Linked DNA regions of Drosophila melanogaster. The protein of the gene in region 1 purifies or fractionates together with the protein of each later gene. This does not show direct contact. Each region holds a gene or a part of one and is shown on either strand. Other genes may lie near its edges.

Region 1 (4,944 bases):
TTTCAATTCCCTCCAGGATGTGGCTGAGAAGTGCAAGACACTGGGCATTACTGCCCTGCATATTAAGCTGCGTGCCACCGGCGGCAACAAGACCAAGACCCCCGGACCCGGCGCCCAGTCCGCTCTGCGTGCTTTGGCCCGTTCGTCCATGAAGATTGGCCGCATCGAGGATGTGACGCCCATCCCATCGGACTCCACCCGCAGGAAGGGCGGTCGCCGTGGTCGTCGTCTGTAGATGGCAGTATCTGGAAAGCAGTAGTCTATGTTTGCGGTCGAAATACAATACTGCATTTGTGTATGCGATAAGAAAGCTTTTCTGTTCGTGTGCATAGGTGCACTGTAATAAACCAGGAAAATACGATGTAAATGACTACAAGACATTTTTGTGTGTGCATTGGGTTCGGTTTGGGGTCTGCAAGTGCTGCAATATTTGATTTATAAGGACATTGGCGAAATGTTTACAAAAATTGCACATTACAAGCCGAAGAGTTGCCACCCTGGCGTGCCCAACGCGGTGGTAGCCCGATTGCGCCATCAAAGTAACTATGCGTCGATAACTATCGCATTACCAGCTGTGTTGTTTTTGCCTTCTTTTTTTCGCATCCGGCGCACGCAATTGGTTGGTTTTCTGCTATTTCTCCCTTTTTTTGTTCAATTTTACTGCAATTGACTTATTTGGCGGCAAAAGCGAAAAGTTGCTGCTAAATATGATTCAGTGATTTAGCATAAAATGAAAAATTTTGCGGACGCCGTGAAAGTGGTGGCGAATTAATTTGTTTCTCCCCCATTTTTTTTTGTGTTGTTTTTTTTTTTGTAGTGATTTGAGCCGGCAAATAAACATGGTGTTTTTTTCTCTTTTAGTTGCTGATCGACGACCAGACTCTGCAGAATGGCTCCAAGAAAGGCTAAAGTTCAGAAGGAGGAGGTTCAGGTCCAGCTGGGACCCCAAGTTCGCGACGGCGAGATCGTGTTCGGAGTGGCTCACATCTACGCCAGCTTCAACGACACCTTCGTCCATGTCACGGATCTGTCCGGCCGTGAGACCATCGCTCGTGTCACCGGAGGCATGAAGGTGAAGGCCGATCGTGATGAGGCTTCGCCCTACGCCGCTATGTTGGCCGCTCAGGTGAGTTGTGCGCTCTCCGGTCCAGTTGGAGCCCGTCTAACGGTTTCAATTCCCTCCAGGATGTGGCTGAGAAGTGCAAGACACTGGGCATCACTGCCCTGCATATTAAGCTGCGTGCCACCGGCGGCAACAAGACCAAGACCCCCGGACCCGGCGCCCAGTCCGCTCTGCGTGCGTTGGCCCGTTCGTCCATGAAGATTGGCCGCATCGAGGATGTGACCCCTATCCCATCGGACTCTACCCGCAGGAAGGGCGGTCGCCGAGGTCGTCGTCTGTAGAAATGGATCGTGCCACCCGCTTTTGACGCTGCTTTATATTCTTATACTATTAAATACATGCATAAATGCAGTGGCAAGGGCATGTTTTTTGGGCTCATGTGTTTCATTGTGGCCAGTGGCAACGCGTCGTTAGGTGGTGCTATCGATAGGTGATGGTTGGGACCACCAATGGTATGTGCAGGTGTAGAGCGGTCACACTGGATGAAATTCAAGACCTATCGATATCCTGATATACACGCCAACGAAGACCGTGTGTGGATTCGTGGAGCAAATCGAAGTTGGCAGGATTAAAGGCATTCGCGAACGCAGAGGCAGCAGCTAAAGGGCCACCCATGCACCAAAGAAACAAACTAGCTGGCCCAGCGGTTCATTTATCTGCGACTAACAAGCTAAAATCGGCGTAATTGGCAAGTTCAATGCACGACTAATATATTTGGCCACACTTGCCAGTGTATGTTTGTTCGTGTGCGTGCCTGTTTGTGTGGTGTCGTCTCCGTACGTGTTTGTGTGTGTGTCCGCGACGAGTATGTGTGCGCACATATTCGTATATCTGCAAGACTCGCGGATGAAACAGCGTGAAAAGTGAGCAAAATATCGGGGAAAAACGGCACGGTACGGCCACAGAACGGAACGGTACGGTGCGATACGATATCGAGAAAAGGCCATCAGCCAGAGTACTCCTCGATCCGGAAACGGATAATGGGGATATAGATGATACAGCCAATAGCTCCCCGAAAGCCACAGCACACAATAGGTCGGTCGGTCGGTCGGTTGGTTGGGCGACGTCGCCGAGAGTTAAACATCAAAAATCAAACCCAGGAACCGACGGAGCTAAGTGTCAAGTGTTTGGTGTTGTGAAATTTTTCGTTTCCAGCTCTCCGTTCAGCGTTCAGCCAATTTGCCAACCTTTTCCCCTCTTTAATTTGTTATCCCCGGACACCACAAGAGTTTCGATCAAAATTTTCAATTGAACGCAACATCGCCATAAACAAAAACATAAAGGTAAAATTCGGCCACTACCCAAACAACAAAAAAATAAAATCATAAGAAAAAATCACGCAGTAACGTAGAAGAAGCAGCAGCCGAAGCCGAAAAAAGACGAAAAGAAAACTTGTTTGAAAAGGCCGAACCGAAAGAAGAAAAAGAGCAGCAGCAGCAGCACAGCGGCCAAGTTTGGAAGAATTTCAGAATTTCAGCGTGCTAGGAACGGAGCAGCGGACCGGCGACGTCACCAAATAAACGCCCATCACCATGGACGAGGATGACAACCTGTCCAATGCCGACATAAGCATAGATGACGAGGAGGTGGTGCGGGAGCAGACCCACCATCCGCCCATGCAAGAGGATCAGGAGCTGGATAACGAAGATGGGTCATCCGACGTGGATCTGTCTTCGGTGTACGTCGTGCCACCCATAGTCTCGGCACCATCGCCCGCATCAGTGCGCATCGCTGGTGGATCCACAATTGGTGGCGGAGGGGTCGCAGCTGGAGCAGTTCCAACAACCACCGATAACTCGCATTCCCCCTTCCACGATTGGGATTCCAGTGTGGCGGCCGCTGCTGCTCCACCGCCGCCACCGCCCAGGACAGGACCAACTACAACTACAAGCTCCGGCACAGCCGCGGAATCGGGAGCCGCGTCCGCCTTATCCGACGATGCCGGCGCCAAGCCAAGTTTCTTCTTTGGCGCCTCCTCGTTCAGTTTGCGCAGCCGCAAGGAGGTGGCCGCCCTGATCAACACGGAATGCTGCCGTGGCAGCCCCACACCCGATCTCGACTCCATAATGGATACCCTATTCAATCCGGGGACGCCCATCGACAATCTGGACAACATCGAGTGGATACGATGGCTCATTGCCGGCGGACGGACGCCGCAGGAGTTTGTTAAAATTGGTACGTCCCAATGTGTGCATATCGATAAGTGTGTTGCATTTTCTATCGCCAAACAGCTGATCGCAAGTCCGTTGCCCCTGAAACTCTGACCGAGCATGTGTGTGTTACCTGCGTTATGTGTGTGTGTGTCTGTGAAATGTAATGGTTGTAGGGCACGCAAAGAAAAGGTAGAGAGGAAGAGAGCATAAAAGCAAGGTGCAAGGCAGCGTGAAGAGTGCGAGTGCACCACCATGGCAACAGCAATCAAGCGCACTCTCTCGCACACACAGCACACTCACTACACACACATATGCACTGATTAGGGGAGTCAACTTTAGCCCAATTTAATCTCAACTGCTCATCTATTTGCAATGCTGTATTTGTGCATAATTTTCATCACTACTTATTACTTTTTGTGCCAGGCTGCGTATGTCGCCAAAGTTGCTTTTATCGTTTATGGTTGTTTGTCGCGTCTAGTCTTGTCTTGTCTTGTCCCACTTGTCAGCTCTGTCACACGCACACATACACACACTCGTGCAAACTGGCGGGCGGAGACGTACACGCACAGTGGAATGCAGCTTGCACCTTGTGGCTTTGTATCAGCTGTTTCGGTACGCCTTGCGTAATAAATGTTTCCGCAGCATCCGTCCCAAAACCACACGAACACGAATGTAGATGGTGCTTGATTATATGATGGCACCTTTTGTCACCGCTAGGTGCTCCTTTTTTTTTTTTGTGTTATATTTCTTTCACCTTTTTGTTTGTTACTCGTTGCAAGAACAATTGCAAAATTGCACTGGTGCGGAAAAAGTTGATTGACCGTCATTGTTGTTGATTTGACAAAAACACGCACAGTGGTCGCGAGGGGCGGATGTGATGTGGCCCACTGTAAGCTGTCAACGGCAATTGACCGAAAGACCGTTATGTTATTGGGTGGTGTGTATGTGTGTGCGTGCGTGCGTGTATGGGTGAGGGTGAGAGAGTGCACCTTTTTTCCGTTCCCATGTCATGTCACCTCCCCTTCCCTTCGCCACACCCTTGCTCCTCCATTCGGACCTTGTCCAAAAGTTCTCAGTTAGAAAGAGACTGCTGAGCCAAGATAGTGAGAGCGAGAGAGAGTTGCTAACTTTCCGTTGATCGATCGCTATTACAATTTTACAACATTGTCAATCAACTTTCCGCTGCACTGTGGTTGTTATTGGCCAATCCATTCGATTTCCTTCCGCATGCGGCGGCCGACAACGTTGACCTTTTTAGTCAACAAGGTCCGAGCGGAATACGTACATACATATGAACATACATATGTGTATAAACTACGAAACATAAAACAATCGTATGTACATAAATACATGTACATACGCCCCAGAACGCAGGCCGAAGACAAAAAATCAAAGAGTCACGCAACTAAAAGCAAGAAATTAACTAAGCAATGAGTGCATCATTTTATTTTTGGAACTCAAATCAAATCAATAGCAATAGCAAGGCAATGCGGTCGGTCAGAAAAAATCAGCTAGCCTCGACTGGTTTTACAATTTCACCTCATCGCTCAAATTTGCAAGCGATATTTAATCGTTTTGTGATTAGAGGCGGGAACAATGCTTTGCAATCGACCGATTATTTCGATGATTTTGCATATGAATTCGTTGAGTTCAATTGGTTAAAAACCC
Region 2 (5,207 bases), on another chromosome or scaffold:
CTGGCATACAGTTAGAACCAAGAGCTTGGGAGTTGGGAGCTGGGTGCTGGGAGTTGGCCATCCCATGCTGCGGCTTAGGTTTCTGCACATCCGTTGGCTTTCTAGCTTTCTGACTTTCTGCTCCATCTGCGATCTCCATTGAAGACTCGTTGGCACCAGGAGCCACTTGCATCGTATCCGTTACTCGGATCGTTTGTTTAATGAAACGGATCGGAGTTAATCTTCTGGTTTTCGCGCTCCCTCCTCGATCGCATCCATTGGATATAGATAGCACTGTCCAGAGCAGCCGGGTTCCGTTGTGCTGGTTAACCGAAACTCATAAAATAGGGGAATAAAGTGCGCGCTCTAATGAACAAAGCGAATTATTGAATTTCAACTATTGGCTGACAATTAAAATCCAAGCTGATGGATCTCTTATCCTTAGCCGCCACTGACAACTATTGTCTTCGATGGCCAATTGCAATTCGATTTACGCAATTAGCCAAATAAACCAATCAAAATACCCATGATTTCCCAACGATTTATTTAATTTCGCCAAAGTGTGCTGCAATCGCGAGTGGAATCAAACTTGTCTGCAAACGCAACTGCTGCTGAAATTATCTCCGAAATCATAAAAGCCCCGATCGCCCATTGCGTAACTTAAGTGCGAGATATCACATGGTATTGATATGGGGGCTTAAATGCTCCGTCGTGCCGTTCCTGCTTCCATTTGCGAGGAAATCGAGAAAATCGGGAAAATCGCGAAAAGCGCTGCAAGTCCTCCGCTTTCACTGGACGGTACACAAAATGCCATTTTCCATTTCCCCCGCATAAACAAAGGCGCGAAGCTGGAGGAGATCGGAGAAGGAGCAGGAGGAGCAGGAGCAGCCAGAGGAGGAGTTCGGCGGTGGCCACCACAGAAAGTCAGTTGCTGATTATGTTCAACCGGAAACTTATAGAAAAAGCCGAATGTGCCAAACTGGTTTGCAAAATAAACGAAAGCCGAGGTATCGCTTTGAATGCCTGTGTACTGTGTGTGTTGTGTGTGTTGTGTGTGTTGTGTGTGTTGTGTGCTGCTGGGTGCAGATTCGATATGCGGCAAACCTGTTGCTTATTGATGCTGTTTTTGCCAACATTTTCTAGTTTTGAATGTGGTACAATACGTAGCGAACTTAAATCTCAAATCTGCTGGAATGCGAACGATGGTTGCCACACAAATCTTAAATAAACAAGAAAGGAACGCCAGCATTTGGGCACCGAATGGCGGCATACCCTGGTCCACCTGGCCACTCGGCTCCCCTGGATGATCACTCGGATCACTTGGATCACCTGGATACATACATTCATGTATACACCATCGTTCTGTCAGCTCCAACTGCGATTGTTATGCTAATTCGCTGAGTGTTTTATTGTATTTTAATTTTATTGGACAGAGGACGCGCTCTTGGCCATACAAAGTATTTCTCCTCACGGATCCGTGAGATGTTTCATAATATATATCGAATTCTATCAGCATATAAAGTATCTCAATCTATGCCATTCATTTTGGCTGTCCATATATTTATGACTCCTGTGGGAGTAAATATATGATCGTCTTCAAAATGGCCATTTGTCGAGTTTAATGACTCAAAGTGCTTTAACATTCTAATCGTTCTAATGAACTCGACAAGTATCTTAGAGCCAATTTGCTGAGAATCATTTTTCCTGATGATTAATTTTAATGATTCGCCTTTTTATCGAGAACACGTCTAACGAAACTTAAGCAACTGCTGAGTAACATAAACATTCTACCATTATGATTGTCTTAATTGGCCAAAATAAGTTGAGTTTAGAATAATTAAAAACAAATCTTTGAATTTAGATGATGGCCAAAGACATTGAACTGCAAATTCTTGGGTGACAATAAAATTAATCGACCTGACTTTCCGCTGAAGAAAAAACGGTTAGGTGATTATGTTTTCTGCTTTATAAATGGCTTCTAGCCATTTAGCCAAATGAAGATTAATCTCCGCCGCCCGGAGAAAAGAACATTATTTCATCATTTTGCTTCTCCCCGCCTTTGGATGCTGAATAATTTAATAATAATAATACTAATAATACTCCGCACTTACCGTTTGGTCTAAAGATTAAATATTAAAGCAGCTCAAAGTATTTCAGCTGAGTATCCAACGTGAAAAATGGAGTCACACGCCGTTAACAAAGGTTATTCTTGGTCCTCAATTACATTTCGATTTACTATATTATTCAATAGATGTTGTATCTGCGCATTAAAAAACAGGGTTAAACTCGATTAAAAACACTCGCGACACAAATTTGAAGGTGTTGTAATACTTATTTTATGTATTTCTCTGTCATAAAATTCATATTGAATCCGAAGTTGATCATTTCGAAGTTGATGATCACCGGATCACCGGCTTGGAAGTGAGTTTTGCCGCACTGAAGTGAATTTTAATTACTGTTTGGAGGTTGCCCTCTTGGATTAATTATAAGCCATAATGTTTCGCGAAAAGCTGGCGAACAAAGCGGCGCGTGGGAGTTTGGTAGCATGTAGTAAAAGTAGCATGGCAAGTCGATGACTATCTACGTATGCCTGTACAGTGAACACGACTGTGTAAGTTTCTTACACAAATCTCGACATACGTGACCTCATTTGCCGTTTTTTTTTTGTTTTTTTTGGCTGTTTTATTGCTTGTTTCTTGGTTCTTGGCAAATGCCGCAGAAATCCCGGTCGATAAATGCGATTTGCTTAATACGGCGATCACGTTCACATTCCACATTAGTGTTCTATCCTTTGATATTCGGCAAAACGATGATGGTTTCGTTTGTTTTCTGTTTTCACTCCACTGTGAGTTGTGTTGGGTAAACAAAAAAACTGAAAAATTGGCAAGAGAAAGTCTTGCTCTCGGGGGTTAAAGTGGTGTGTACAAAGGTATGATTTTTAGATTTAATGATGGCGTGAAGGCTTTGTTTGCCTCTCGGGGCTTCTTTGTTATTTAAACGGAGCGCTATTTCGAGATATCTGCGTGGTATGCCCTTTTCAGGCTTCTATGGCTACAGCTTTAGGTTGCCTTGGATCCACCGGACACACCTCACACATCCACACATCACACGTCGCCACAAACGGACCATTCTGAACTTTACACATTTTCTTGAGAGATAACTCTTAAAAAATTAGCTCTTGGGCATATTCATACCAGCTCGAAAACCGGTATCGCGCCAGCCACCTTATAGCAATAGCGCTGCGTTGGGGCACAAGCTCATACTCGTCGTGCTACACTGCGCGAAAGTACGTGGTACGTGGTGTCGGCTCGGCGGTTGGATCGGTACTGTTTCGCTTTACCTGTCTCGCGCAGCAGCGGCAACAAGTGGGCGCTACCCGATCCAAGGTGGAACGTATTGGAATTGAGCTGGCATTCGCTCGCTTTGCGGTAAAACTGGTTTTTCGGGGGTTACTCGTTTGCCAGCTGATGGATACCACACCATACTCAAACACACACACACACACACACACACACATGCGAAAGGCTTCGGCTGTGGAGCACAGGTACTGCGATCCACGATCTGCAGGTGCATGTACATACACAGCTATGTACATATGTATATGTGTATGCTGCGCGGACAGAGAATCTCGAGCGGCTAACAGCGTCTGTTAAGTCAAAGGTAAATATGTAAGAGACCACCATGTTGCATTTTCATAGGAGTTGGAGCCGTGGATCGGGCTTAGAGTTAGCCAGCCAGGCCAGGAACCAGTTTTGGGGCTTCGGCTCGGCTTGTCGCTCGCTTTGTGTTTGCTTTTCTGTTTCAGCTGCACTGCAGCCGTTGCTGTGTAAGTTTTTATTAAAATGTTTTAGTCGATGTTGCCGCGATTTTGGCCGCTCACTCCACTCCACTGCAATCCACTGCAATCCACTGCAATGCAATGCAATCCGAGCTGCGATCCGGGGCATGAATGAAGTTCACCAAAGGGGCAGACAGCATTTTTGTACCTGTCAGGCGGGCAGGGAGTCGTCGCATATGCATATTCCGTTGCCATTGTACTGGGACAATGAGACAGTTGCACCCGGCTGGCTGGCAATCCGCGAAATTGGCATTGCCATCATGGGTAGGTGTTTCCATCGAACACCACCATCGAATACCACCATTTCCATTTCCAGCCGGATGCTGCCAGAACAATTGAGCCAATATCGTTATATTGGCATTGAAAGCTGCTCAGATCGATGGGATCAGCCAAATATGATAATTTGCGCAGATCTTGTTTCTCGAAATGTCAAAGCACCTAATTATAGCAAACATAGCATATTCATATGGCACACAAACTGTACGGTAAGATTAAGCCATGTGCTAAATGGCTATTAGCGGAGTATCTTCATGGTGCTAAACGCATGGGAGTCTGCCATCTTCATCACAACTGGCTGGAGGAGAAAGTGCAAGGGTTTTCAGCAGATGTACGTCATTAGCTCGTTTTACTGTTTGCTAACAAGCCAGTTGGCTGTTAGCTCCTCACCTGGCCAAATCCGCATCCCACTGGGTTGGGATTTAATTAAGGCTTAGCTTCTTTCGTTATTATAAAGAGGCAGTTTCTTGCTACATTTATTGGGGGTTCTTGGATTACCATAATGTCTGTGCTCTTCCGGCTTGGTCATCACTTTTACGATTCGAATGGCCCATTTTCGCGATAATTTGCCGATCGGCTTACATATGTCAAGTTCGAAAAAACAAAGTGCCAACTGTTTGAATTCGCTACTCTAACAGGAAGTTTTTGGATTATGAACAAGTTGGTTAGGAGGAGCTTGTAAGGTGTATTTCATTTTAGCCATTTATGCTGACATTTAACAAAAGTGTAGTTCAGTGACCCAAAGTTACACGCTGCTACTGGAGTTGTAGCCAAGACAGATTTGCTTGTGATTCTGCAAAATGTTTTTGGTAGTAGCAAGCTATATGCTGATATGCTCCATGAGTACCGGATATGAAGGTATCAAGCGAAATGTGTCAGCCAAAACTGTAAGGTTTCGCATTGACCATGCGCAAAAGCTCGAATTGCTGGTTGAGCCAGTTTAAAATCATTTTTGCCTTCCTGAGAATTTTCGATTGCACAAACGACAGGTGCAGCATAGGCAAAATAAATTGTGGTGCATAGCAAATATCGTTTCGAAAATGCTTTATTTCAGCCATATTACCAACAGACAGTTGCAGACTAGATTTTATTGGCTCCTGGCTTAACTTCTTTG
Region 3 (6,161 bases), on another chromosome or scaffold:
GACCCGGATCCTCGGCCTTCACGTGGCTCTGTAGGGGATCGTCGTTGTTGTTGTCATCGTCGTGGATGCCCGAGGAAACCAGCGCCCGGCTTTTCTCGTAGTCGACAAAGTCGTCGAAGAGGCTGGGCCACGCTTCGGTATCATCGTAATTTTGTATATCACATTGTTCCGTAAAATTGAGGTACATGTTCCATGTATCCTTCGGTATGCGGCGAATATTCGGGTGCTTTTCGAGGAAGTGTATCCAGTTGGAGAAGAGATCAGGTGTTTGTACAGTGAACACAAGTTTCCACAGGTCAATAGCCATCTCCAGAGAGAGGACGCGCTGATCGGGCTCCAGACCAAATCTGAAATTTGAGACGCTAATTAGGTACTGATCTTCCAAGCAGTAAGAACGGCATACCGGAATGTAAAGCGGTATAACTGCTTGAACATCTCGGCGTCCGCCTTGAGCATCTCGATTGTCTGCTCCAGCCGCACCCGGATACTGTCTATTGTGTCCGCCCTCATCTTATGCAGACCCTCAATGAACTCCACCTTGGTGAAGCGGCACATCTGCGAGGCATCCAGGCACCAGGCCAAGACGAGAATTGCGAACTCATCGGGCTGATAGTTGAGGTCATTGCATAGTCGCTCGATGCCGTCCGTGAGTATCATCTCCTCGTCGTCGGGATCTTTGTACACATCGAATAGTTTGCTCAGCGTTTGGTGCGATACCTCCATCGATTCCTGGACAGCTATTAGAATATAGAAAATCGAATGAGTATGCCGCCAAGGCAGTCGAATGAACGCTGACTCACCAGTTGTTATGATATCGCTCATGGTGGGCGCACTGCCATTAAGCAAACCTAAAGACTTAAAACTATTACGCTTAGTATCACAATTGTTTGCTTTTGCTGGCTTGAGTGGAGTTCGGCTAGAGAGCAGTTCATCGGTTTCTAGAGTGCATAAGCCGGAATAAGAGAGGTTTCTTAGACTTTGGATCACAATGCGGTTATTAACTATAGAATACCCACCTAAGGCGCAGCGCTCGTTGGCATTGGGATTAATGCCCACCGATTCGTAGCAATTTGCAAGGCTGGTGGCCGTCTGGCAGGCGTTGGAATTGGAATTGTGTGAATTGGGGGACGAGGCGTTCGTTGGCATCGATTGTTCGGCGGCAGACTGGAAGCATTTCAGGCAATTGCCCATAGTGCGGGCGTGCTTGGTGCACCACCAGGTCCTACTCCTCCCCCGTGCTCCGCCTGCAGTTGCTTGCTTAACGGGAGCACTCGATGGCTTCCAGTTTCGTTTTGGCTGAGACACTGTGATTTGTCAAGGGGCGTGCAATTGCAATTGAGGTCTGCTGGTCGTATAGCTTCTGGGAAATTTATTAACTATGCATTGGCACTGCGATTCCCTCCTCTGGCATATGGTAGTGGCTATTCCGATTCCGATTCCAAGTACGTCCTGTGCGAGTACAAACAAGTACGATTCCGATTCCGATTCTTTGTTGTCACTGCGATTGCTGTTGTTATTTTGGTGCCTCCTACGCAAACGCACACTCACGCGTATACACATACATGTGCAGGTTGCAACTGCAGCATTTGGTGCCACCAAATCGCGCTCGTCTCTCTCTATTGATGGTTTTCATTCACATTTTCAGTTCACCGTGCTCCAGCGCGTGTTTAACTACAATTTTTTACAATATTTTTAATTTGATTTATCTCGCTTTTTCACTTGTCTTGTTTTTTTCTGGCAATCGGACCAGGGCGGCACTAGTCAACCAGGGCTGCAGTGCTCTACGTTAGTTGATGCGATAGTCGTAGCAACTTCAGTCTGGCAACACCCTATCGTCGAAGAGAGTCACAGTAGGACATACAAGTTGATTCCGCACAGTAGTTCACACCTTAAATATTTTCGTACAAATTATTCTATATTCAAATACGATTATTGAACCAATACGTTCAATACAATGTTTTTATTAATTTATATTCTTTATATTACTTTATTGGTTAAGAAATTTAAAACAAAACATTAGCATACATAATTTTTCCCATTAAAATATTTAGTTGCCGTCTAAGCAGCATCTATCATTTTCTCGACCACTGTGCGTAATGTGAGCGCCGAGTTTGAGCAAAGCTAACAATTTCATTCAACAACATGCAGTCGGAGCGGTAGAAAGTGCTTCCGGGTAACGGCTTTCGGAACGTGCATATTCTACCGATCGCAGATGAAAACTTTCGGTTCGTTTGGCTAAAAAGAAAAGTGTCAAGCTGCCCGGAGTGGGAAAATCCAATTTGAAATCCTGCATTTGAAAAGTCGTCTTGAACCGGGACAACTAACTGGTAATAAGTGAGTGTGTGTACCCGTGGTAAATAAGTAAATGGTTGACTGTCTCGATTTTCGGTTGTTTTGGGCAATTCGAAAACCAGCCAACAAGGTTGAGTGAACTTGGTAGTTGGTCGTTGGTATGTAAGCCAAACTCCGTCGTGCGCAGTAAATGGGTAATGTTTTCTTGTGTGCGTGTGTCGTGGGCCTGTGATTCTTCGCGGCGGCTACACTTTTCTTTTTCTTTTTTGGATTATTAATTCGAAACGTGTGAACGTTAGTACAAGTGCTGGGAAAAAGGGCAATATGCTTAGGCTTAGGAATTTGGCTCATCTTCGGGCTTATTTTAATTGGCCAGCCCCACACAATAAGCACATTAAAAAGTGGAGTAAGACAAGAAGTACGAAAACCCCGTCTACATTTGGTACCAGTAACACCAAAACGGAAATCAGTCGATCTGATACATACATTGTACATATGTATATGCATATATAGGGATCCAAACCTAACATCACCACATCTAAAATGAGAAAACCGTAAACTAAAATGATTTATATCTTTTTTTACTCTAAATATAACAATACACACACCGTTCCAATCATTAAGTATACATTATTTCAGCGCTGAGCGGAAGATTCTTGGGTATGTTGAGCATATTTTCGAAGTAGCTGGACAGCTCTTCGAAATTAACTTCGTCGGGGCTTTGAGTCGGAGCTTCTGTGCCTCCATTAGAGAAAATATCATCACATTGACAGGTCAGGTAGACTGTATCGGGATCCGTTGGGATCGATTTAGCCAGATCCTGTAGTTTGTCCACCCTTGGGACCGTCAAGTTTATGGCGTTTCCGTAACCACAAATATTTTCACACTCGCTCATCATGGTTTTAAGATCGTAGGCATTGCCAGAAACCTTTCCAGTCGCAATCTTTGCCCAATTAGATTCCTTCTCTTCGTCGGTGTCTCGAATTTTGTGAGCCCAATCCACTCCTTCGGCACGAATTCTTTTAAAGGGATGTTCAATTATTGACTTTCGAAGAAGAAACTTTTGCTTCAGTGTATGCTTCGGAATTCGTAGATCTTCGAATTTGTTGGAATCCAAAGTTGCCTCTATTGCAGATTTATCGAAAGTTGTTGCTTCGATTGGATTGTCAGATATTATCATCTTACGCAGCTCGGAGGAGATTTTTTCTATAGACATGCTTTTTAATTGTAAAGAATTGTTGGCGCTTATGTGTGTGACCTAATTTTGAGAATCTTGAGATGTGTGATGGAAAGGAATGGCAAGTATAATGAACAGCCTACTCATCTCGCCTTGGATTCCTTTCAGATCGATTCAAGAATTTCCATCGCCAACCTGATTGAAAGATAACACAGACGAATATGTCATCGGATCGGTTTCACAAGTGGGTACATGCAATTAATTTGACTCTATCTTATCACCAATGGTGATGCACAAGAGACTCATTAACTTTCTGGTACAATCGTTTCCGTTTAGAGCCGCCAAAGATGGGCTGTTGGATGTGTTGGCAGCAGCCACACGGAAGGATACGAATGCCAAGGACAGTGATTCCATGACGCCGGTCATGTGGGCTGCCTTCGAGGGGCGTCTGGATGCACTGCGTCTGCTGTGCGGAAGGGGGTACGCATTCGTTTAAATGATAATTCTATATCCACTGAAGATAATCCTTTCCTCTCCCTTCAGTGGTGACCCTGACAAATGCGATCAGTTCGGAAACACAGCCTTGCACTTGGCCTCCGCCAAGGGTCATTTGCATTGCGTCGACTTCTTGGTGAAATTCGGAGTAAACATCTATGCCTTGGATATCGATAAGCACAGCGCCAAGGATCTGGCGGCTATTAATGGCAGGGACGAGATCCTGCGCTACTTGGATGTTGCCTTCACAAACTTTGAGGCCACTGAAAAGTAAGTTTATGAAATATCTGCCACTTGCTTGCATTTTTGTTTGCATAATTTATTTTTTGTATATATTAAAACTAATACTTCAACTAACAGAAAAAAAAGCAAGGCCCTGAAAGAATTGGCCGAGAAAAACTGCGAGAAACGTGTTAGGGAGTACATGAAGCGCCAGAATCAGCAGCAACAGCGCCAGGATCCGGAGTATTCGGATCTAAGCGCACCCAGTGGCTCCAGCAAGACCGGCAACATGCTGTCCACTCTGAAGCAGAAGATCTGGTCCAGCCAGGGCAATCTAAATAAGACACCAAGGGATACACCGCCTCCCACAAAGTTCAGCGATCTGGTTGGGAACGGTAGCAGCAGCAGCGGTGGCTCCACAATAGCCAGTCGAGCGGGAACGGTGCAAAAGAGACCGTCGCAGCTCCAAAAGCAGCACAGCAGCACATGTCCACACTCGAAGATATCCAGCGACACAGACGGTGGCTTCAAGGTGCGCGAGGTGGAGCCAGATGGAAAGCGAACCATTACATCGCTTACGGGTCTGCAGAGAGACTCCGAGGTGCTGTATGTGGGCACCTTTAGTTCCAACGAGGACAGTGTCGGCAAGCGCGGCAAGATCAGCGATGTTTTTGAGTGCATGGAGGCCGATGAGTTGGACCACAGCGATAACCGCAGTGGCTATAGCTCTACTTTAGCGCGTTCCTTCTCCCAACCGGATATTCTGGGGGATGGTCAGTTGACCCAGGAACTAAGCGAGGAAGTGACCCTCCAGAGACCCGTTGGACTCTTCGATAGACCCACCATGCTGGGCAGCATTGCCTTTCGTCGATCCGTAACTGCTGCTTTAAGTCAGCTTCAACTGCACACGGACACCAGTTCCACTTCCACGATGCGGAATGCGGGCAGCAATCCTCCAAAGACACGAAATGGCGGAGGAAAGGGTCGTTTATATTTGAACCTTTCGGATGATACGGACTCGGAGGGCGGCGGTCATGACATCTATAGCGATGATGACGACGACGACCGAGATGCCGGAGGAAGTGCCTTGCAGCGATTCCTGGCCGTTTGGGCCCTGGAAGAATACCTGCCAGTGTGAGTAACAAAACCAAATTTGTCTGGAATGTATGTGTATTCAACTCGTATCCTCCTTTACCATTTCAGATTTCAGAAGCAAGAGATCGACTTGGAGACTCTGATGCTGCTCACAGAATCGGACCTTAAGTCACTTGGCTTGCCACTGGGGCCATTCCGTAAACTCACCTTCGCCATTCAGGAGAGACGTAACGCCCTGGCCAATCCCGGACCCCTGGTAGACAGTCGACTGTAGTAGTTGGCCTAATCATTCTATTTTTTTTGTAATACTTCAACATGTTCAATTAGCCTAGTGTACATACTAAATTAAAGCCTAACAATTATCACTCCAGTTCGCTGTGTTAGCCCGACACCTGTTGCATCAGATAGAGATTGGCGTAGATTTTGTTCAGTGCCATCAACTCATCGTGGGTGCCGTGCTCCACTACCACGCCGCGTTTTAGCACACAGATGAGATCCGCATTCCGCACGGTGGTCAGACGATGCGCAATCGTCAGGCATGTGCGGCCTGATCTCGCCTCATCCAGCGCCTGTTGCACCACCTTCTCGCTCTCCAAGTCCAGCGCAGAGGTGGCCTCGTCCAGGATGAGTATCTTCGGGTTTCTAACCAGGGCTCGAGCGATGGCGATGCGCTGCTTCTGACCTCCAGAGAGCTGCGATGTCTTGCCCAGTCGGGTGTCGTAGCCTTGGGGCAAAGCACTTATAAAGTTGTGGATATTCGACTTCTTGGCCGCCTCAATAATCTCCTGCATGGACACATCGTCACGGAAATTGTTGCCATAAGCTATGTTCTCGGCAATGGTGCGATCGAAGAGCACGGGTTCCTGCGAGACCAGGCCCA
Region 4 (5,322 bases), on another chromosome or scaffold:
CAGTCCGGACACTCGATGGTTGCTCTGCACGTAGGGCGATGAGCGGGAAAGGGCTACCTGGATAGAGGTGGGGCCCCAGGGAATGAACTGGGCCATCTTGCGGTCGCGGATGCGCTGCAGTGACTTGTGCACTTGAGTGGGATCCACCTCGCCCTGGATAATGTTTAGAATGGAGATGTAGCAGTGATGATTTGACTTGTCGGGACCAGTGGACACCATCATGTTCTTGGGCTGCAACAGACGCCGCATTACATCTAGAACAGTAGTCTTTCGCACATTAACCAGCTGCTGGGTATGGATATCCGAATCGCTAGTCAGCGGCGTGTAGCCTGTCATGAGAAAATGCAGCTGGGGCGTCGGGATTAAAGGAGCCGTCAGCCCAATGAGATTGTTGTTCATGTAGGATGGATACCTCAGCGTAGTGGTGCTGACGCTCATTATGGTGGAGACCAGGTTGTTGATCTGCGAAAAGCTGGGATTCTGAATGTGCAAGCGATCGCAGGCAATACGATTAAGAGCAGTGTTGTCCAGGACAACCACACTGTCCGCAGCCGTAGTCAAACGTTTCAGGGTGAGCATGGAGTTGTATGGCTGCACCACTACATCACTGATCTCGTCCTGATTGGGAAACACACTGAATGTTTGGATAAGTTTCTTGGGATAGCGGTCCGCCAGGCGCTCCATGATAAAGGAGCCCATTCCCGATCCCGTTCCGCCAGCAATCGAATGGCAAAGTATAAAGCCCTCCAACGAATCGCTTCCATCTGCCTCACGGTCAATGATGTCGAATACCTCTTCTTGCAGCTTTTCGCCCTGGCTATAGCCTGAGGCCCAGTTGTTGCCCGCACCGCCTCCGTGCTTGGATAGGTACACATTTTCCGGATTGTAGAGCTACGGGAGTTAATAGTAGGTTTGGCGCAAAAAATTAAAAGTTATTTAGAGAGGACTCACCTTGGAGTAGACCGAGCCCATTATGGTATTGATCACCCTCGGTTCCAAGTCCAAGAGCACCGCGCGGGGTATGTAGTGGTCGTCGTCCGCCTGGTAGAAGAACACATCCTTGCGGTCCAAGCCATCATTGGCAAAGTCCTCCAGCACGCCGCTAGGGGAGATGCCATGCTCCAGGCACAATCTTTTCCAGAACTCAAAGCCAACTGCGTTTAAACGATTTTAGCAATGCAGATGGTACTCGTCCTGATTTCAGAAACCTACTTTGATTGCCGCACTGCCCAAGCTGCAAAGTAATTATTTCACTTGGCATTGTGGTGTGTTGTTTCCGGCCAGAATCGTCAAGTGAAGTTTCGCGTTTAAGGTCGAATTAGTCGAAATAAAATAAAACACAACTAAAAGATCGTCGAATTATAACAAAATTTTTAAAAAATCCCACAGCGGGGACGTACTTTGTAATTTTAAGAAAGTCCAGTGTTGATAACACCGCAGCGTTTAATGGCGTCCTCATTTGAAAGGTGGCGCAGTGTGCCCTCTGTTATAAAATATATATGATTACTTAAGACCTTTATTGTGAATTAAATAAATAAAAATAAACATTACATTTTTCTACTTTGTATTTTGGAAAGGCAAAAAAGTGTTGGAAATCTAAGACTATGAGTTAGAAAGATCGAAACATGTCATGAATATCAATCTAATAGTTCAATACTAAGCTTAACTTGAATATAATTTTCTATAAGAAAGTTTTTCAATTAGGTTATTGAGCTCCACCCATTTTGTACTACTAATGACGTCGAACTATTTGTACTACTAGTGACGTCACAATGTGCAATATTTGCTCCACAGTCGTGTTTTTCCAAGGAAGGCACACAAATAGTGTTGTAAGCAGACCAAAGTCAAGCCGACCGGCTTGCAAAAATCGCGTTGCCCGCGCAGTTTTCTTTTTGTTGATATCGGGTGCTGAACCAAGCGACAGTGGCTCTGCAAAACAAGCAAAAGAAAAAGCTGGAAATCTGTGGAAGTAAATACAAGTCATTTTTGAGAACCTATCAGTCCGAGCAGTAGAACTCCATAATGCCGCGTGTCAAGGCCGTGAAAAAACAAGCAGAGGCGTTGGCATCTGAACCCACTGACCCCACTCCAAATGCCAATGGGAATGGAGTCGACGAAAACGCAGACTCTGCCGCTGAGGAACTCAAGGTGCCGGCAAAAGGAAAGCCGCGCGCGAGGAAAGCCACCAAGACGGCTGTATCTGCGGAAAACTCCGAGGAAGTCGAGCCACAAAAGGCGCCCACTGCAGCCGCGCGTGGCAAGAAGAAGCAGCCGAAGGATACAGACGAAAACGGCCAGATGGAGGTGGTGGCCAAGCCGAAGGGACGCGCCAAGAAGGCAACTGCAGAAGCAGAACCAGAACCCAAAGTCGATCTACCAGCTGGAAAGGCAACTAAGCCACGTGCCAAAAAAGAGCCCACTCCTGCTCCTGACGAAGTGACGTCTTCACCGCCTAAGGGACGCGCTAAGGCTGAGAAACCAACGAATGCCCAGGCCAAAGGACGGAAGCGAAAGGAGCTGCCGGCAGAAGCAAATGGAGGGGCCGAGGAAGCAGCAGAGCCGCCGAAACAACGGGCAAGAAAGGAAGCAGTACCAACGTTAAAGGAGCAAGCTGAACCAGGGACAATAAGCAAAGAGAAGGTGCAGAAAGCTGAGACAGCTGCCAAGCGGGCACGCGGAACCAAGCGTTTGGCAGATTCTGAGATCGCAGCTGCTCTCGATGAGCCGGAAGTGGATGAGGTGCCGCCAAAGGCTGCTAGCAAGCGAGCAAAGAAGGGAAAGATGGTTGAGCCATCGCCCGAGACTGTAGGAGATTTTCAATCAGTACAAGAAGAAGTGGAATCGCCTCCAAAAACTGCAGCTGCACCCAAGAAACGCGCCAAGAAAACAACCAATGGTGAGACTGCGGTAGAACTTGAGCCAAAGACCAAGGCAAAGCCCACTAAACAGCGCGCTAAGAAGGAAGGCAAGGAGCCAGCACCCGGGAAGAAGCAGAAGAAATCCGCCGATAAGGAAAACGGTGTAGTTGAAGAAGAAGCCAAGCCCTCTACTGAAACCAAGCCAGGTGGGAAACTGTCAAATCAATGTAAATGATGAAACCATGATTAACTATCTTTAATCCGCAGCTAAAGGACGGAAAAAGGCTCCAGTCAAGGCAGAGGATGTCGAAGATATTGAGGAGGCAGCAGAGGAAAGTAAACCAGGTGGGCACATTGTCAACAATAACTTTAATATCAATGCCACGCTAATCATATTCTATTTGCAGCTCGAGGCCGAAAAAAGGCGGCTGCGAAGGCTGAAGAACCCGATGTCGATGAGGAGAGTGGATCGAAAAGTATGTTAGCGGAGCAATCCGGCTGCGGTGGAGCTGCCGTATTAAAAAGCTTGCAAACCATGCTCAACTTTTGTTTTCCAGCCACCAAAAAAGCCAAGAAGGCCGAGACCAAAACCACTGTAACATTGGATAAAGACGCTTTTGCCTTGCCAGCAGACAAAGAATTCAACTTGAAAATCTGCAGCTGGAACGTGGCCGGTCTGAGGGCCTGGTTGAAAAAGGATGGTCTGCAGTTGATTGACCTCGAGGAACCAGACATTTTCTGCCTGCAGGTTAGCTATCAAAGCTATCCACACAAAATTGAAAAACACTAATAATTCCATATATTTTAAAGGAAACCAAGTGCGCAAACGATCAGTTGCCAGAGGAGGTGACCCGACTGCCGGGATATCATCCCTATTGGCTGTGCATGCCAGGAGGCTATGCCGGCGTCGCTATTTACAGCAAGATAATGCCCATACACGTGGAATACGGCATTGGCAATGAGGAGTTCGACGATGTCGGGCGCATGATTACGGCTGAGTACGAAAAGTTTTACTTGATCAATGTGTACGTGCCGAATTCAGGCCGAAAGCTGGTTAACTTGGAGCCCCGCATGCGCTGGGAAAAGCTCTTCCAGGCGTACGTGAAGAAACTGGACGCTCTAAAACCGGTGGTCATCTGCGGCGACATGAACGTTTCCCATATGCCCATTGATCTGGAAAACCCGAAGAATAACACCAAGAATGCCGGCTTCACCCAGGAGGAGCGTGACAAAATGACAGAGCTGCTGGGCCTCGGCTTTGTGGACACGTTTAGGCATTTATATCCCGATCGCAAGGGCGCCTACACCTTCTGGACATACATGGCCAATGCGCGAGCACGCAACGTTGGATGGCGTCTGGACTATTGTCTCGTCTCGGAGAGATTCGTGCCCAAGGTGGTGGAGCACGAGATACGCAGCCAATGCCTTGGAAGCGACCACTGCCCGATCACAATATTCTTCAATATATAAGATGTACACTTCGTTTGTGTTTAAATGTACTTCTGGATTCGTCATTATTACTTTGTTTCCTCTCCATATATGGTTTTTATTGTATTTGATTATCCATCGCTGTAGAAATTGTACGTCCCTATCTAATCATTTCAAAATGCCATTACTCTATTACATTCTGTCATAGATCCACCATCAAAATTCGTATTTTTTTAATAAAGTGAGCTACTGCCCCACGTTCGAACTTTGTGCTCAAATTATTGGCCAAAAACGGTTGGATTTAAATTTTTAAAAATCGCTAGAGGTGATATAACCGGTCGACATCGATAAATGTAATCGCTTGCCTATCGGGTCGAACCGAAGCAATAACTAATTCCCGCCAATTTTCGAGCAGAACTCGATTTATTTTGCGGGAAATATATACATACATTATTTTTGCGAAATGGTTTTAACACCAACGAAAGATGGGCCCGACCAGGAGAGCATGCCGTTGCCGGCCGACAATGGGGAGTCACCAAGTAAACAGCAGGCCCCTGTCAATCGGGATGAGATGCACTACTTGGATCTTCTGAGGCACATCATCGCAAATGGAGAGCAGCGGATGGACCGCACGGAGGTGGGCACTCTGTCCGTGTTCGGCAGTCAGATGCGCTTCGACATGCGGAACTCCTTTCCTTTGCTGACCACGAAGCGCGTCTTCTTCCGCGCGGTGGCCGAGGAGCTGCTGTGGTTCGTGGCGGGCAAGACGGACGCCAAGCTGCTGCAGGCGAAGAATGTGCACATCTGGGATGGGAACAGCTCCAGAGAATTTCTGGACAAGATGGGGTTCACGGGGCGAGCCGTTGGGGATCTGGGGCCGGTGTACGGCTTCCAATGGAGGCATTTCGGGGCGCAGTACGGCACCTGCGACGACGACTACAGCGGCAAGGGGATCGACCAGCTGCGCCAGGTGATCGACACCATCAGGAATAACCCCTCAGACCGTCGCATCATCATGTCGGCTTGGAATCCACTG

Evidence for each region.
Region 2: the proteins of Ubr3 (region 1) and Cad99C purify together in Drosophila melanogaster (affinity purification with western blotting; one study listed by BioGRID). This does not show direct contact.
Region 3: the proteins of Ubr3 (region 1) and Sans purify together in Drosophila melanogaster (affinity purification with western blotting, with the first as the bait; one study listed by BioGRID). This does not show direct contact.
Region 4: the proteins of Ubr3 (region 1) and Rrp1 purify together in Drosophila melanogaster (affinity purification with western blotting; one study listed by BioGRID). This does not show direct contact.

The regions. Positions count from the first base shown.
Region 1 is NC_004354.4:7,934,314-7,939,257, forward strand, and holds the start of Ubr3 (Ubr3 ubiquitin ligase), read left to right. Parts: upstream 1-1,582; 5' UTR 1,583-2,655; coding exon 2,656-3,298; intron 3,299-4,944. Other genes in the region: RpS14a (ribosomal protein S14a), read left to right, coding at 17-235; RpS14b (ribosomal protein S14b), read left to right, coding at 890-1,126, 1,186-1,404. UniProt on the Drosophila melanogaster protein: E3 ubiquitin-protein ligase which is a component of the N-end rule pathway. Recognizes and binds to proteins bearing specific N-terminal residues, leading to their ubiquitination and subsequent degradation.
Region 2 is NT_033777.3:29,839,757-29,844,963, reverse strand, and holds the start of Cad99C (cadherin 99C), read right to left. Parts: upstream 3,308-5,207; 5' UTR 3,174-3,307; intron 2,240-3,173; exon of another isoform or gene 2,091-2,239; intron 1-2,090. UniProt on the Drosophila melanogaster protein: Cadherin that functions in epithelial morphogenesis and the intestine epithelial immune response. Essential for female fertility. Regulates the length and organization of apical microvilli in developing follicle cells and salivary glands.
Region 3 is NT_033778.4:12,934,763-12,940,923, forward strand, and holds Sans (scaffold protein containing ankyrin repeats and SAM domain), read left to right. Parts: upstream 1-2,128; 5' UTR 2,129-2,327; exon of another isoform or gene 2,328-2,334; intron 2,335-2,853; exon of another isoform or gene 2,854-2,911; coding exon of another isoform or gene 2,912-3,508; exon of another isoform or gene 3,509-3,581; intron 3,582-3,637; 5' UTR 3,638-3,690; coding exon 3,691-3,713; intron 3,714-3,805; coding exon 3,806-3,949; intron 3,950-4,012; coding exon 4,013-4,234; intron 4,235-4,324; coding exon 4,325-5,320; intron 5,321-5,389; coding exon 5,390-5,555; 3' UTR 5,556-5,650; downstream 5,651-6,161. Other genes in the region: SCCRO3 (squamous cell carcinoma-related oncogene 3), read right to left, coding at 1-347, 404-737, 801-938, 1,017-1,191; CG30487 (uncharacterized protein), read right to left, coding at 2,912-3,508; Mdr49 (multi drug resistance 49), read right to left, coding at 5,662-6,161.
Region 4 is NT_033779.5:2,968,998-2,974,319, reverse strand, and holds Rrp1 (recombination repair protein 1), read left to right. Parts: upstream 1-1,811; 5' UTR 1,812-2,022; coding exon 2,023-3,064; intron 3,065-3,125; coding exon 3,126-3,203; intron 3,204-3,265; coding exon 3,266-3,606; intron 3,607-3,668; coding exon 3,669-4,328; 3' UTR 4,329-4,547; downstream 4,548-5,322. Other genes in the region: gammaTub23C (gamma-Tubulin at 23C), read right to left, coding at 1-891, 952-1,154, 1,213-1,261; Ts (thymidylate synthase), read left to right, coding at 4,750-5,322. UniProt on the Drosophila melanogaster protein: Plays a role in the cellular response to oxidative stress by promoting DNA repair mechanisms such as base excision repair and possibly homologous recombination repair.